2 linked regions of the Drosophila melanogaster genome follow. The protein of the gene in region 2 interacts with the protein of the main gene of each other region in a pairwise test. Each region holds a gene or a part of one and is shown on either strand. Other genes may lie near its edges.

Region 1 (6,812 bases), on a different chromosome or scaffold from region 2:
TTCCAAAGCCATTTATTATTAAAACGGAGTCCCTGTTTGTGCAAGAACAGCGAGTGTACAAAATGGAGCCCCAGGATGTACAAGAATTTTCACCTGGTACGGAGCCGCTGGATGACCAAACTTATGATAGCGATTAAAGTGTGTAGAATTCTACCACGGAAATGAAAAAAAATGAAAATGCAAATTATTATAATTATTATTCATAAAGAATTGTTATTAGCCTAAAATATGATTCTAATTACGAGCTACCGACATTCTCATAGTTTAATTATACCTGTATTACTAGATGCGTTGAAAAGTATGGAACAGGCAGAAGGAAGCGATTGCGATCATATACATTTGTCTATACATTTTTGATCAGGATCAATAGCCGAGTCGATCTGGCCATGTCCGTCTGTATTGATCTCATTTTGCCACGCCCACACTTTTGAAAAATGCTTAGATTTTTCTTCGTGCAAAAAAAAACACTAGCCACGCGCCTCCTTTTGCTACAATACGCCCAAAACGGTCACGACTATTTTATTCCCCAGTATCTATCGATATCCCAGAAAAATGATGAAATGTTCCCTTTGGCATTCCCACTAGCTGAGTAACGGGTATCTGATAGTCGGGGAACTCGACTATACCATTTTCTATTGTTTTTAAATTCAAAATAAAACAGTCAAGCACCAAGGTGCCACCTCTCGGTTGACATTGCAACTACGCAGAGCTAAGGTGACCAGTCGTCTTGCAATCTGGCAGCCCTATAACAGAAGTGTTCCAAAGTGTCACGCTATCGCGTGCTAACCAACACTAATCTGTTGCTTCGCATTAAAAATTTTTGCTTGACTTGACAGGTTCGTAGAAAAGTCGCAGAAGAAAAAGCTGTTCCGTCGGAATTAAGGCAGCCACTATGTCGTATCAACTGTACCGCAACACCACGCTCGGCAACACCCTGCAGGAGAGCCTCGACGAGCTGATTCAGGTGAGTTCGCGCTGGCGAAGTGAAACGCATTGTAATTTTGGGCTTCCATATTGCAGTACGGCCAGATTACGCCCGGACTGGCTTTCAAGGTTCTGCTGCAATTCGACAAGAGCATCAACAATGCCCTAAACCAGCGGGTCAAGGCCCGCGTCACCTTCAAGGCTGGAAAACTAAACACCTACCGCTTCTGCGACAATGTCTGGACTCTCATGCTTAACGATGTGGAGTTCCGCGAAGTGCACGAGATCGTCAAGGTGGACAAGGTGAAGATCGTGGCCTGCGACGGCAAGAGCGGCGAGTTCTGAACACCACCGACCCGATCTGAACACCCAATGTAACCCCACTAAACACACCATGTAACCCCACAAAACACACCATTATAACCATTACAAATAGCTGTAAGATTCGTAGGCGATAAGCTGGGTTGGAAAACGAAAACCGACCGTGCGATGCAGCAGGCATTGCAAGAAATACACTGTTAATTCACAGTTCACCGAGTCGAGTATGTTTGTTATGTATTCCGTTAAAAAAAAGGGAGTTCTTGGAAACATGAGGTGGGTATGCAAATAATTGCGTTACAAAAATCTGTAGGGCACAAAAGGGTTCTTTAATGCCATTACCAAATAGTAATGCAAAATATGTGTACGTGTGAAAACATTTATTTATTATTTGCTAATAATTGTAGTTCATTTAGTTTGAGCACTTTACAGAGCTCTGTTAGTCAGCTAATGGTGAGTGACCTCGCTAGATAGCAGTGATATGTTATTTTGGTATTTTTTAGTCACACTTTTTGGTGTAGCCATTTCGAGTGGGCTCGCTAGCCTCGCGACCTGCAGTCACACTTGCTCCAACGAACAAAAACCACCGCCCGCATAACCACGCATCGTTATTTGTTGTTGTCTACGCCGTTTAATCGCTGACAATTAACAACAAAACAATAACAGGAACGGCAGGCACTGCCTTCACTTTAAGAGAAGCCCGCGAATCGAAACTGCCAGGCGATCGAAGTCGAGGCGATTTTAAATCGAAAACGCGCGCGAGATGCGGAAAAGCCAAACGCCGCGAGCTTTGTTTATGTGTATCGGAAAATAACATAAGAAAATCCCTTAGATTCTTTGTGCGGATGAGCCAGTGCGAAAGCAATATCAATAATATCCCAAGCAGATTGCTGAATAAATCGCATTCGAGAGGTAAAAATGCAAAACGAAGTGTGATTTTGAAGAGTGTGCCTAGTGTGTGCTGCGAAGTGACTAAGCGCCGCAAAGAAAGTGGAAAAGCGGAAAAGCGGAGCTAGCGGTGGTTGGGGAGGCGAGAAGTGGGCAAGGGAAAAATCTAAAGTGCATTTATATTGCGTGCTAATCTCCGCCGTTTTCCACTGCAGAAACGTGAATATAATTACGGCGAAAGCGGATCAATTTTTCGTGCAGTCAACGAGAAAAGAAAAAAAAAAATTGAAAATAAAACCTTGCGTTGGCGTCGCAGCAGCAGAAAAATTGGAAACAAATTGAGCAGCGCCCTGTGAAATATAAATAAATTTATGTACCCCCTTCCCTTCTAGTTTTGTATGTTTCCAATTGGACTCCTGCTGCGTCTCCATCACTTTAAAAAAATACTTCTCGCCTTCTAGGAAGTAAAAGTTGCGTTGAATAGCAATTAAAATTAATCCATAATATCCGTATCGATTATTTAAAGGTTTGACTAAAAGATCGGCAAAATTAATTTCCGTCGCATTAAAATCTTTACATCAAAACTGGATTATAACAGATCCGTTGATATTGGCACTCAGCAGGAAAACAACTCGGGGGTAACCAACAAAATGGTGAAACGGTAAGTAATCGTCCAATAATCGTAAATGCATTTCAGTTTTATCAGTCAAGCCTATGTATTCTCCGATATCAAGCAATGTCGTTAACCCATTTCGACAGACCAATTAGCGTCTATGTTCGTCACAGGCAGGGTTCTACAGTCAACGCTCCATAAAGCAGATCCATAAATAAACACCAGAGCTATTGCTTAGAATGGGTTTTTTGGAAAGTGAATATAGATTACGATTAACTGTAAGTTCAAGTACAATCTTCGTAAAATTCATTTGGATTTCTTTTCTCTAGCCGAAGTTTCCTGTACTTCGTATTTAGAATGGGGATTTGCGTTGCATTCGCCGCGTCTGGTCGGGTCTATTGAACCCCAAAAGTCTGATAAACAATTTCACATTCTCACCGCATCCATATCGCACAAATTATAACGCAATTTATAATTGTTTTCCTTGTGAGAGGTTTCTGTTTTTTTCTTTTCGGTTTTGTTAATCGCTACTACGTCGCAATGCAAGATAGCTGTTTCTATTTGTGTGCGCATTTTGTCACTGCCTTGCTTTCTTTCCCCCAACTTCATGTTTTCCCACCGAACAGCGGCTCCAACAACAACCTACCCCCAAGCTGGGAAAAACACCCCCTTCAGGGTGCATTTCCATCACCCACCACCGCACCACCGAAATCTTCCTGCTTCAGCACTGAAAACTCAGAACTCCAGAACGCAACGCCGCATAAATTTCGTGTGCGTTTTTCCCCAAACAAAAATAAATTGTAAAAAACAACGCATACAGTAGGCGTGTTTTCAAAACCGGATCTTTAGTACCCTTCTATAAAATTATTCATTCGCCTATTAAGAACTGTAAGTTGCAGTCGGAAAATTAGTAAGTTCAATATAACGTTTAAATCAGGCCTCTTGAGATTTAACGTATAACCATAAAAAGTGATTGATTTCCATGTATAATCGCTCTTCGTTTGATTAGTGTAATTTAATTACTGTTTGAAGTTTAATGTTTTTATCAGTTGTACTTTTCTTTTGCTTGTTTTAATGAAATAAGTTTTTTGATTAAGTGGGATTGTCATAAGTTCAATACCACATTACACACATCAAAGTTAACTATGCAAAAGAGTTTTTAAAGATGTCTGTTTTGTGTTTTATAGAAAGCGCTTAGCTATAGTTTGTCTCTATAAAGGGTATGAAAATCTTTAGCCCACTTAATTCAATTCCTGGGATACCCTTTTTCCAGTTGGGTTAACAGATGATGACTAGTTACCGATAACTGCTTTCTATTCCCCACCATCAAGTTCAAAGTGTTTAGGGAAATGAAAACTTGAGTGAAAAGCTCTCAATGAAAATAAAAAATAACAAAAAAGTAGTGTTGCCAACACGGCGACGGAATGGGAATACCCTTCAACTTCAAACTGAAAGGATACAGCGCCATAACATCGTTGAGATGACAGCAAAATAGAAAAGCGGCATTCGGTTTAACGCATGCGCCCTGACGTCACGACTGCAGCGGCAGCAGCAACAACAACAACAACCACGAACAACGACGACAATATAATGTCCAAGTGGAGTTTGGCTTTGCAATTTGATTTTCTACACGATTTTCAGACTTTTCATCTGGGGGCCCCCAAAATAGCAAAAACAAAAAACATGGCAGCGCCTACATAAATAACTGCATACGTTGCATTCTCTTGCCCGCGCTCTCTTTCTCTCGCTCCCACTTCTTTGGGCTTCTCGCTCTCGCTTGCTTAATTATAGACTTTGTATCTAACAATTTGTATACCCTTACTTGGGTTGCTAAGAATTAATGTGGCTCTTTGTAGTGCTGTATATAAATTTCAGAGATATTAATATATTTCCACGTTGTTTAATAAATTACGGTCTAATAAAAATAAAATAATATAAAATTAACCTACACACATATATTACTGACAGGGTGCAGAGAATTCGGCTTTTCGCACTTAACTTCTCCTCTCGTTTTCCATTACTTTGTCGCGTTGTTTTTCGTGTTCTTGTTTCCTTCTCTGTCTTTCGCTGATGTTGTTGTTGTTGTTGTTCTCCAAGCAGGTTCTTCTTGCTGCATTTTTTACAGTTGTTAGGGTCTTGTTGTTGTTATTCAGTTTTTCTAGATTTTTGGTTTGATGTTTTCGTTGTCGCGCCCCCTCAGCATCATAACCCCCGCCCCTTGGCTGCTTTTCCAGAATTTTCAGGCCTTTTTCCAACTACACTACCTGCTTGCCCCTTTTATCGATATATTTTATCACAGCGGCAGTGGGTCTTATCGATGCTGTCTCGCTCGCACTCGCACACTTCCTGCCGTTTACCTGAGTCCGCGACCTGTTCCCCATGTTGTTGTTTTTGTTATTGTTGTTCCTCTGTGGCTATTCGGGTTCCTTGGTTGTTGTTGTACTTGTTGTTGTGGCTCTGGTGATCGTCTCGCAGGGATTTATGTACAAATCCACACAGCCTTCATGCATATGGCCGTGTCTGTTCTGTTCTGTTTTGTTCGGATCGGTGTTTATTAAATTCCACGACGCTTGCACAGACGCGGGTAGAAATATAGAGTCAGCTCACAGTTTAATAAAATTATTTTTTAAAAAACTTGTTATCTATATTTCTCACGAGTCAACAAATTTCTAGCTATTTAGGTAAAAACAGGATATAACAATTATGAATTCCGATGGTTTATTTTGTATTCTCTTTATCATCTTATCATTACAATGTGATAGGCCTAATTTGTGGCCTACTATCTTGGCCACCGCTGTGCGCTTGCATTTTCAGCTTTCAGTGGCTGCAAGGCGGCCGTTTGCCTTATGCTTGGAAATTTATTTGTCTGCACGCCGATCCCCATTATGTATGTTCATTGGTGTGTGTATGTATGTAGCAATGTACATATGGTTTGTATGGAATAAGTCGCTTCCTTGTATTTCTGTCCATCTCTTTCTTTCATTCATCCATCTGTTTGTTCTTTTTTGGCGATTAAAATTAAAATTTAATTCCGTCATTCTGCAGGCTGTTGTAGTGTGTATGTAGTTGTTGTTGCTTGCTCTTGTCTGGCGGCTGCCATTGCCCCGTTTTTCCATTGAGCTTGGCTTTGTTTTACGGACTTCCTTGTTGTTTTCCCCCACTCCCCTTTTTGCCAGACCACCAAACTGCAATTTTACCACCGCCTGTTGCTGTTGCGCTTAGCAACATTTTGCTTATGTTGCTCATTTGTTAAGTGCTAATTTATTTATGAAATTACCACTCCATACGACACACCATTTCTGGCTGATTCATATACACAAACGCTCGTACAAACATAATTAACTGATATTATTCATGCCCATGACTCCAGTGAATAACGCCGGAATTACTTTGCGGACAAGGGTTGAGAGATTCTCACTTTGAGGTACAAAATAAACCAACTATGTAGGCATTTTTGTTTCATTAAAACATTTTAAAGACTTTAACGAACATCCAAAGATACTGGATATTTTTCTCCAGTATGCAAATGTCTTCAAACTGAAATTTTTGTGGTTTCTATATCTCGCAGCGATTTGAACCCATTTTTTGTTTAACTCCTATGTACTTTAAAGCCGACGAAATAAATATTCTTATCAGGGCGACAGCTGCTGAGCTTATGAAGCTGATAATTTACAACGCCTTTATCATGCAAACGAAGAAATGCCAATTTTAGAAATGGGAGTTTCCCTATTTCAACTCAATTAAATGAATGAAATGTGACACAGTTTAATTTCAGGGGAGTTCCAAATGTAGAGAAGCTTAGAGTGTCAGTGCTATTTGAATTGGAAATTGTTAGCATCCGCCTCAGAATTTCATGCTCGCCTTGACAGTTCTTTAGCTGAAAGCTTAATAAACGAGGATTAACATTTCAGACTGTCTAATGGTTCTATCCCCCTTTCACAGTCTACCTTTTTTTTGGTCATTCTAGACTTACGAGCAAACTCTGGCAGTTTGAGTTACATTCTAAGTTGGCATTAAACCTGTCTCAGCTTTTCTGCTGCTGCATTTTGCATTTGCCCTTGCTTATCAT
Region 2 (8,923 bases):
CTGACTATCGCTGTCCCTCTTCGCCTCGTACTTCGATTCGCGCGGCGTCGCGACGCAGCAGCAGCACACACGTCTACGCTCTCTGAAATCGCTGGCGAAACTGAAACCGAAGCCGAGGCCACCGAACGATCGTTGCCGCCGGCGAAGGAGAAGGCGAAGAGAGGCAGGCGCCGTCGCCAATCCCCCACAACGCCAACAACTGAGTCACGCGCTCTCCTTCGCCGATAACCGTTGATCGGTGGTTGTTGTCGCTGTTGTTGTTGCTGGTGCCACAGCCACAAGCTGAACGATTTGTCATAGGCGGTGAGAAAGCCACGCACACTCACGTGCAAGCTGGCCGAAAGAGCGAGACTCTGCATCAAGCGCAAGAGAGATACAGAGACTTGAGGCTGAATTGCGATTGCGACGACTGCGACGTGCTCTTCGATTGCGGCCACCTGTTGATGTTGCACTGCCTCTTTCTCTTCGCCCAGTGCGCTCAGATAGTCATTCACAAAGTTGGCCGTGATGGCGCAGCGCCGTTGCTCTCTTTCCGGCTCCACGTTGTGCGCTCTCTTCTGCTGCAGCTTTCGTTTAAAGTCCTTGACCAACTTCGCCTGCTCGTCCGCACACTTTGCACTCTCCTCCGTGCTTCTCCGCAGTGTGACCGTGCTCTCCTCGGCGGAGGATGAAGGATCGCGCGCTGGTACGCTCTTTGGCTGCTGCCACGGCCCCTCGTCGTAGTGGTGCACCTGCCGCCTCAGGGAGGTCATCCACTGGCAGATGCTCTCGTTGAGATACAATGATGAGGATCCTGATGTGCTTTCGTCCTGCAGCAGGCGAATGCGAGAGACGCGCGGCCTCTTGCGCTCTCTCTTGTGGCTCTGGCTCTCTTCGGGCTCTCTTACGCGGCCGTAGATGTGCTGATCGCTTTGGCTGCCCTTCAGTTGCTGCTGCTCTAGCTTGAGTTCGCAAATGCGCTGGAGGTCAAAGGTCTCCTGGGTGCGGAACACCTCGTCCACGTTGTGGATGATCTCCAGGGAGCCAGCGCTGCTACTGCCAGTCGTGGGTGTCCTCGGGAATATCCTGCGCTGCAGCGACGACGAACGGTTCAGCTGCTTAAGAGAGCCAAAGAGACGGGTCAAGGTCGCCGCACTGGACTTGGAGTAGCCCAAGAGCGACCGCGACTTGACCTTGGTGGGTGGTGTGGGCGGTGTGGTTGGTGTGGACGGTGCGGGCGCTTTGGCTGGCGTCTCTGACCTTTGACACCGGCACCGCTCGTTGTCGCTATAAATGCCGCGGCACAAATCGCAGATGTTCTCATAGATGTTGCTGCTCTCGCCGGAAATCGTCGAAAGGGGCGGTGGCGGTGGGGGAGGCGGTGTACTCACCACGCCCCCGCTCACGATGCACTGGCAGAAATGGCAGTAGCGTCCTTGGGCGGCAAACACGCCGTAGCCGCAACCCCGACAAAGATTCTCGTAGATCGCCTCGCGCGGAAAATACTTGCGCAGCTCCGCATTCAGGTGACCTTTGGGGGTGGAGGTCAGGCCCGGCAGATTCTCGTAGATGTGCGCCTCCATGCCGACGTTATCGTTAATGTCCTTCGCCTGCTGTGGCATCTCTCTTCTTTATTTCTTCTTCTGCCTCCCTACTTTCTCTTATCGCCGCTGCGTCACATCGTAATTCATTATTAAGTGAGAAAATAATCGCCGAGCGGGGCAATTGGAGAGATAGTAAGTGAGAGCACTGTCATCGAGAGAATTTCGTGCACCGCAAAAGAAATGTCGCGAAGGTATTTAATTAACATAAATTCGATTTGGAAATGCTCGAATGGCTCTTCTTAAATTTCTCACTCGAGTGAATTGAATAACTTGTAATCTTCGATTACTCACTATTATTTTTTGAGAAACACCCCAAAAACGACCTTAGTTCTCGCAGTGTAATCACTGAGAAAAGTCAATGGGCTTGAACTCTTTAAGTGATGCCACTACCCTCATTTTCTTTCTTTCTGTCTCTTTCCCTCCCGCTTCCGACTGCAATCAGCGATATTCATTATCTCAGCCAAAGTCGCTGCACTCTGCACTCAGTTTTCCTCCAAACCATCGGCTTTGCCTTCAAAACACAATTCTTTGGCTTGACTTTTTTTAAATCTGGGAATTTAAAGGATGAATTTTTCGAATCTAATTGCAAACAGCTTTTAATAATATGACCCTGTTATCGTGAATTTCTTTACCATTTCTTCTAATATTTACATATATTAGCTATTTTGATAAAATATTATTGGAACCCATTGCTGTATTCAATATATGTGTAACTAGACCCAATATCTCTGTATATTTCACGCCCAAAAAGATCCAGAGCACTTATCACTAATCAGTTTAGAGCTCTAAAATGAATTGTTTGTTTGCCCTAAAACATTTGATGCTTAAATGCAAATAATGTTTAAAGTAAAAAAAACCCCAATGCATTTCATCTGACTAGAATTCCACAGTGCTGCTTCTGCTTTTGAGCTTTGTTTTTCGTTGATATACGGAGATGAGTCACTAACCGATCCACCAAACCATGTCGGTCCTCTCGTAACCCCCGTCCTTATCCCTCGGACTCAAAATGATGGCCATGACTGGGTGAAGAGAGCGGAGAGGGGCGAGAAACCCCAGAGAAAACCCCGGAGAAACAGAAACAGGTTGGCGGCCAGTCGAGAATTGTGTAACGATCGTCGACTTCCTCACCTACGCCTCACAGGTGCCGCCAGGTAGATGGAATGTGGAACATGGTGTGTGGAATATGGAATGTGCTCAGTTCACACTGGCAAAAAATAGTAGCCACTGATTTTGGGAATTTAAAATATTACAAGAATTCTACAATTCCTTCTTACTGAAAAACCAAAACGGAAATATGCAAAATTTCATTTTACATATATTAATATATGTATATTCTATCTTTTTTTTTCAAGTGCACAGTTATCCCGAACGGAAGGCGAGAGTGAGCCTAATGGAGTTAAGGTGCCAAGAAACGAGGGTCCGTGCATTAATCTTTCGATCGGCGTAAGTGGGGAAATCATGTTTATCTCGATGGTAGATCTTGAAATCTTCTTCGGGGGCTTCGTATTATTCGTAATTCTTTGATCTAGGATCGCCGCCATTAATCATAATCGGCTTGGGGCGGAAAGGGGAAACCGGTTAGGGGTTTTAGGTGCTTAAAACATGTTTCGCATTCTCCAACACCACCAATTGTTGTTACAGCGTCATTTAAATAAAACTGATTCAAATCCAGTCGAGAGTAGCCTACCACCATATTTCAAAATACAACAGATTTGGATCGTTAGGTACCACAAATGTTGGTTGGTTGGTAGGTAAAAGCGTTTTCACGGTGTTGTTAATCATACTTTGGTCTAGAATCAGGGTCAATGGTCAATGGTTGTCTTGTTTGCTTGGACAATAACCTGTATTATTAATTTTCAATTCTTTATAATCATGTTTGGGTTGTCCTTTAAAAGATAATTTTACAGAACATTCTATAAGATATTCATTTCTCTGATAAAAAACACACAAATTATACAGAAACCGAATTTATTTAAATAGAAAATCTTGATTAATTACTTGCGTGATATATTAACAATCCGAGAAATAATTTAACAAAGAGCCATACACTTAATTGTTCCAAACTATTTGAATTTTAATAGCAAACAAAAGGCTTGTGGAATTCTTCATAACTGATTGACTGTGTTTTCACTAATATAATTGTTGTGGTCTCATTAGGAGCATTTCTCTGAACTAATTAGCTTTCTACAAAATAAACAATTCTTAAATTGAATCCCTAGGGTCTGAAGGTTCTGAAGCATAGTTATTAATAAATAAGTGAATAAACTATTTAGAAGCCTGACATCACTGGGCTTGTTGTTCATTTTGGAAATTTTGAAAGTATATATTTCAAATCCTTCATGACTTAAGAAATGCTTGCGATTCACTTTAAAGTGTTAAAATTTCATTAATAAAATGTTTTTATGTACTGATACGAATCACCAAAATGCAGCAATAGCATAGAAAAAATATATTGATACCGAATTCATATACTTTTTTAAAAATTTTCATTCAGAAAATCCGTTTCGTTATAAATAGCTATAAAAATAGCTGTAGCACAACCAATTGAATATTATATTTTTTAATATGATTATGATATATATTTTGTTGAACCCAATTAACTAAGTTTAACTTCAAACACTGGCAAAATACACAGTTTATAGTTTGATTCCTCAAATACAAAAAAAACAAAACCGCAAAACTTTGGTTTTTCGGGCGCCTTGGTGATAAACTTGCATACTTTTGGGCATTCGATCGAGACCTTCTTGACCCCGTCAATAAAACCTGTCCAAATTGTGCAGCCCCCAAGGAGACAGCAATGCAATCAGTGTGGATTGTGGGTAATCCGCTGATTTGCCTATGCCGATGATTCATCGCCGTTCATTTTCAGATGGCGCGACAAATGAATAAATGACGATGAATGCCATTGTAAAAGCAATATACTGTAATTCACAAGAAACACATGAGCACACACACCCATATTATGGGCGAAAGGAAGGAACAAATAAAACGGGATTGGTCCCGTTATCTCGCAGCGCTTATCTCACTTTCTCTCCAATTTCCCCAAATGCACTGTTTTATTATTAAAACTATTGTAGATCGATCGAGGCACTTGGTGGGCTTCAATACCGAAACCCGAGCACCAAAACAAAAAGCACCGATTTTGGCCAGCACTGATAAGCCGAGCTTTAAATGGGAGCATTACGAAATTGGGCTTGAGGTGGGGCTCTCCATCAAATCGGGAGCTGCAGGCGCGACGCGTTCGCGAATTTAACAGAATATCAACTGAAATTGAACTCAAGATGCCGCCGAGAATTTTCTTGGGTGGCGGTCCGCCTCGTAAGCGATTGACGTCGCAGTCGCCGCGCAGTCGCAGTCGCAGTCGCAGTCGACGCCACGAGTCGGTGGCGGTGGCTATGGCTATGGCGATGCCGACCTCCGGTCACCCAGGGAACTCGAGCACTCCACACTAGTCAGCAAAAGTGGGCACTAACCCCCAAAGCCCGCAACAAAATTTTGTTGCTTCCGATGAAAAAGCAAGTTGGGAATTATAAGCGGGTAATTTCAAATATTTCAGATATTCAAATGAAATATAATACATATATTACAGGATATATCAGTATTTTTAAAAACTATAAATGCTAACTATATATGCCAGCCTTACAAAATTATATCATCAATAAGTTTCTTTAGAATAAAACTTTTTAAATTAATATAAGATTCAATAGAAATTCTTGCCTTGTCTAATACATTTCTTACAGTTATTTACTTTTATAGGCAAAGTCTATGGATCATTATTATGACCATGACTATGGACCATTATGAGCTGTGATTCATCATCGGTGAAACTATGACTCATGTCAACCGAGCTTGAAACTATCCTTCGTACCCATGTCATGCTGACCAGTGTGGGCCAGAGATCAGTGATGGGGAGGCAAAAGCCCAGAACAGAACAGAACAGCGCAGAGCAGAACAAACCTAAAACTGAACTGAAACCGAACCACATGTGTGTAATGGAACATGGGCAACATGTGTGGCTCTGTCTGGCTGTGCGCCACCACATTCACGAATGTGCGTGTGTGTGTAAGGGTTGGGGGTGGCATGGGCTAATGAGGGGGTGAGAGGGTAAGGGTGGGGCGTGGCAGCGACAAAAGACGCTTTTTATACTCAACGCCCGTTGCCTAATTAAGCATATCGAGTGCGGTCCCTGAAGGAGGGTGGTAAAGGGGGGGGGGGTGCTGTCGAGGGTTGGGAGTTTGTTTTTCAGTTCGGCTGAGTTGGGAGTAGGGGGTGCAAAAAAAGGGGGGGGCTGGGGTCGGTTCTGGGACCGCAGAGGGGGCGGTGCTGGGCGGGTGGATCGAGCTGTGTAAGTAACCATGATGAATGCTAAACACTGTTCAATTTATGCACAACAGTTGCGTAAACCGATTACGATATGCATATACATATGTACATACATACTTTTGCTCAACACTTTATTGCAAGCAATTCCGATATGAAAATGAGAACTGCACTTTCAGCACGAACCGTAAGCTCTCTTATTTCTTATTGAATTTTGAAACCAATCCTCATAATCCTGTTCCTCATAATACTGCTCGCAATCATGTTTTGAAGATCCATATAGTACACGACCGATATTTACAAAAATCGGAATCCATATAAAACAGAACCGGGAGCAAATAGAGAAAGAAAAGATGAGGATGCATCTTTGGGGAAAAAACAACAATTCCGGGGAAGAGACTTAAAAAATAGGCGAATGAGAGTGAGACTGAGAATGAAAATAAAAATAAAAATGAAAATGAAAATAAAAATGAAAATGAGCAGAGGCCGGCGAAGAATCGCATTGCAGCCGATGTTCAGCAATATGGTCGCTTGATCTTTGAACTAAATTAATTAAGCACAATGAACACAATTGTTGTTGTTGGCTTCGCTGCCGACGGCATCAAATGTATCCACCAGATACGAATACAAATACAAATACAGATGCGGATACAAAACAACAAATACGCACACATACCGAAATAAAGAAATGCATTCAGGCTGTGACCAACATTGCATTCAACTGTTTGCTATCGGCTACCCTACATACATACATATGTACTTTTATGTATGTATGTGTATATGCAGGAATATACCAATAAATCATAGGGTTTTCTAGGGTTGACTAAGTGTGGGATTTACACTATAGATTTAATATCTATCTTAAAGCACGCCACCACATATGAGTTTTAAGTGCATAAATTGAAACCCAAATATATTTAATATATATTTATTCGGCTAATAAATTATGAATTATATCTCGGAGTAGGGCATTTAACATTCGCAGTGCTTGGTAAATTAATTCCTGAAGAACATATTTCTCATGTTTTCGCTTTCAGTTTCCATCTTTTTTTTTTTTTTTTGCCCCGACTCATATTTGGTTTGGCTTTTCTGCGGGTTCCTCGGCCGCCTTCTTTTCCCGAAAAAAAAAAACAAACGAAGAATTAAAAGGGGTGGCCCACGGCTCATGGCCCGTGGATGATGGTTGATGGCTGATGGCCCTGTCCAAGTCCCGTCCATGTCCCAACCAAATCCACAGCCCCGTCCCCACTCACATCCACATCCACATCCCTGTCCAGAACCAGACTCGCGTCTTTGGCAGCATTATGTTTCCGTCGGTAATGAGTTGGCAGCGACTGCAACTCAGTGTTGTCGAGATCCGACAGTAAAAACCCGATGGATTCGAGTAACAAGTGCATTTCAATATTTCAATGTGTATATAATAAGCCTCAATATGCAGTTATGATAAGCGGAGAGATTCTATACAATTTTATCTAATCTTAAATGTGTAGTATATCCTAAATGTATAATAATATCTAATAGTGTGCATAAATAAAGTGTATTTTAATAATAATTTTAATTTTTAATATTTTCAGTTGGTTTCTGAAAATGCAGAAAACTTCATTCTCAAATAATTTGCAAAAGATTAAAAAAAAATGCTATTTCTTGACTAGCAATTAAATAGTTGGAATGGCAACTCTATTTCTGCGTTGAATGTTGCATGTGGCTGTATTGGTGTTTACTCCCCCTCCCCCAATACATGCATCCTCTTCACCCCCCTCTCCACTGAGTTCACTTTATGATTATTATTGTTGGACGGCGGTCTTCTCCTTTTTTAATGAATTTTATTAAGCGCGACAGCAGCAGCAACAGATAGATCGAGTTGAAAAGAGGGGAGTGGGGAGTGGCTGTGTGTAAGTGTGTGTGTGTGTGTGTGTGCTGGGTGACCGAAGCCAGCAGCTTTTGTCAACGCCTCAAAAGTAAAGTAAAGAGCTGCTGGTAAAATAATAAAAATACAAAAAAACTGCCTTAATTGGTACTTTTTATTGACCATCGCCTGTGACTCATTCGATGTTTTATACCATTCAAGCATGAAATCTAATCCGATGAATTAGTCAATAATTGATAAAATGGAAAAACAATTTGCGTAAAATGGTGTGAAGTATGCAATAAATATGCACTGCATTTGTAAGTGCTTTACGCCTCTTAATTAATAGCATTTAAACGATTGTGTGGCTAATGAGAAAAGTGTGAATTAGAGAGGGCCTGTTCAATATTATGAAATTAGTTTTGTTTTTTAAAAACGCAATAAACCTTACACACACACAGAACCTTGTAAATTTTGAGAAACCGTTGCATTACTGTGTAAACTATTCCCGATTTTAACCATATTTCCCTATCAATTGCTTGGTCAAAGAATTGAACTGAAAGATATTAGTTTTCGAAACGTGTATTTATGCATTTTGCAAACGTTCGTGTTGACAGGAACAGAAGCTTGAATAAGTAAATGAAAATTGTTGTTTCCTATATAATTTTGTTTTCGATCAATCCTACTTATATGTAAGTAACACCAATTTAGGGAATGAGCCCGCTTCTATATAGCTCATCTCCAGACTTTCCTATCAGTAACACACTGCCGAAGGGCCCCCGAAACTTGACTCATAGACTCACAATTTGAGATAAAAACCTCTGAGATACAAATTGTGAGAATTCAATGACGCACGCGAGAGGGGGGGGGGGGGGCAGGGAGATAACGGAAGCTGAAATTGGAATTGGAATCGGAATACGTAAACGAGTACGAATTCGAATTGAAATGAGAATGTCAGCTCAAGTGTCAATCAGACGACGACAATTCTACTTGGCGCTGCATTAACAAAGAAAAAAAAAATTAAATTAAAAGAGAAATTTCGAGGCAAAAGTGCGGGGCAAATCAGAGCGAGAAAATGAAATGCATAAATAAAGCCAAATGGAAATAATGCACGCAGAGTATCTATGTGACCGACTGGGTACGTGTATTTGTGCCCGTTGTTGACTGATGACAA

What was found. The genes of interacting proteins can lie anywhere in the genome.
Region 1: the proteins of RhoGAP18B (region 2) and Pli interact in a two-hybrid assay, tested with the Drosophila melanogaster proteins (2 studies listed by BioGRID).

The regions. Positions count from the first base shown.
Region 1 is NT_033777.3:23,885,036-23,891,847, reverse strand, and holds the start of Pli (pellino), read left to right. Parts: upstream 1-1,795; 5' UTR 1,796-2,154; intron 2,155-2,656; exon of another isoform or gene 2,657-2,728; 5' UTR 2,729-2,780; coding exon 2,781-2,791; intron 2,792-6,812. Other genes in the region: tbrd-1 (testis-specifically expressed bromodomain containing protein-1), read left to right, coding at 1-137; TfIIA-S (Transcription-factor-IIA-S), read left to right, coding at 893-964, 1,021-1,269. UniProt on the Drosophila melanogaster protein: Scaffold protein involved in the Toll signaling pathway via its interaction with pelle/pll kinase.
Region 2 is NC_004354.4:19,153,353-19,162,275, forward strand, and holds the start of RhoGAP18B (Rho GTPase activating protein at 18B), read right to left. Parts: upstream 4,850-8,923; 5' UTR 4,768-4,849; intron 1,650-4,767; 5' UTR 1,602-1,649; coding exon 1-1,601.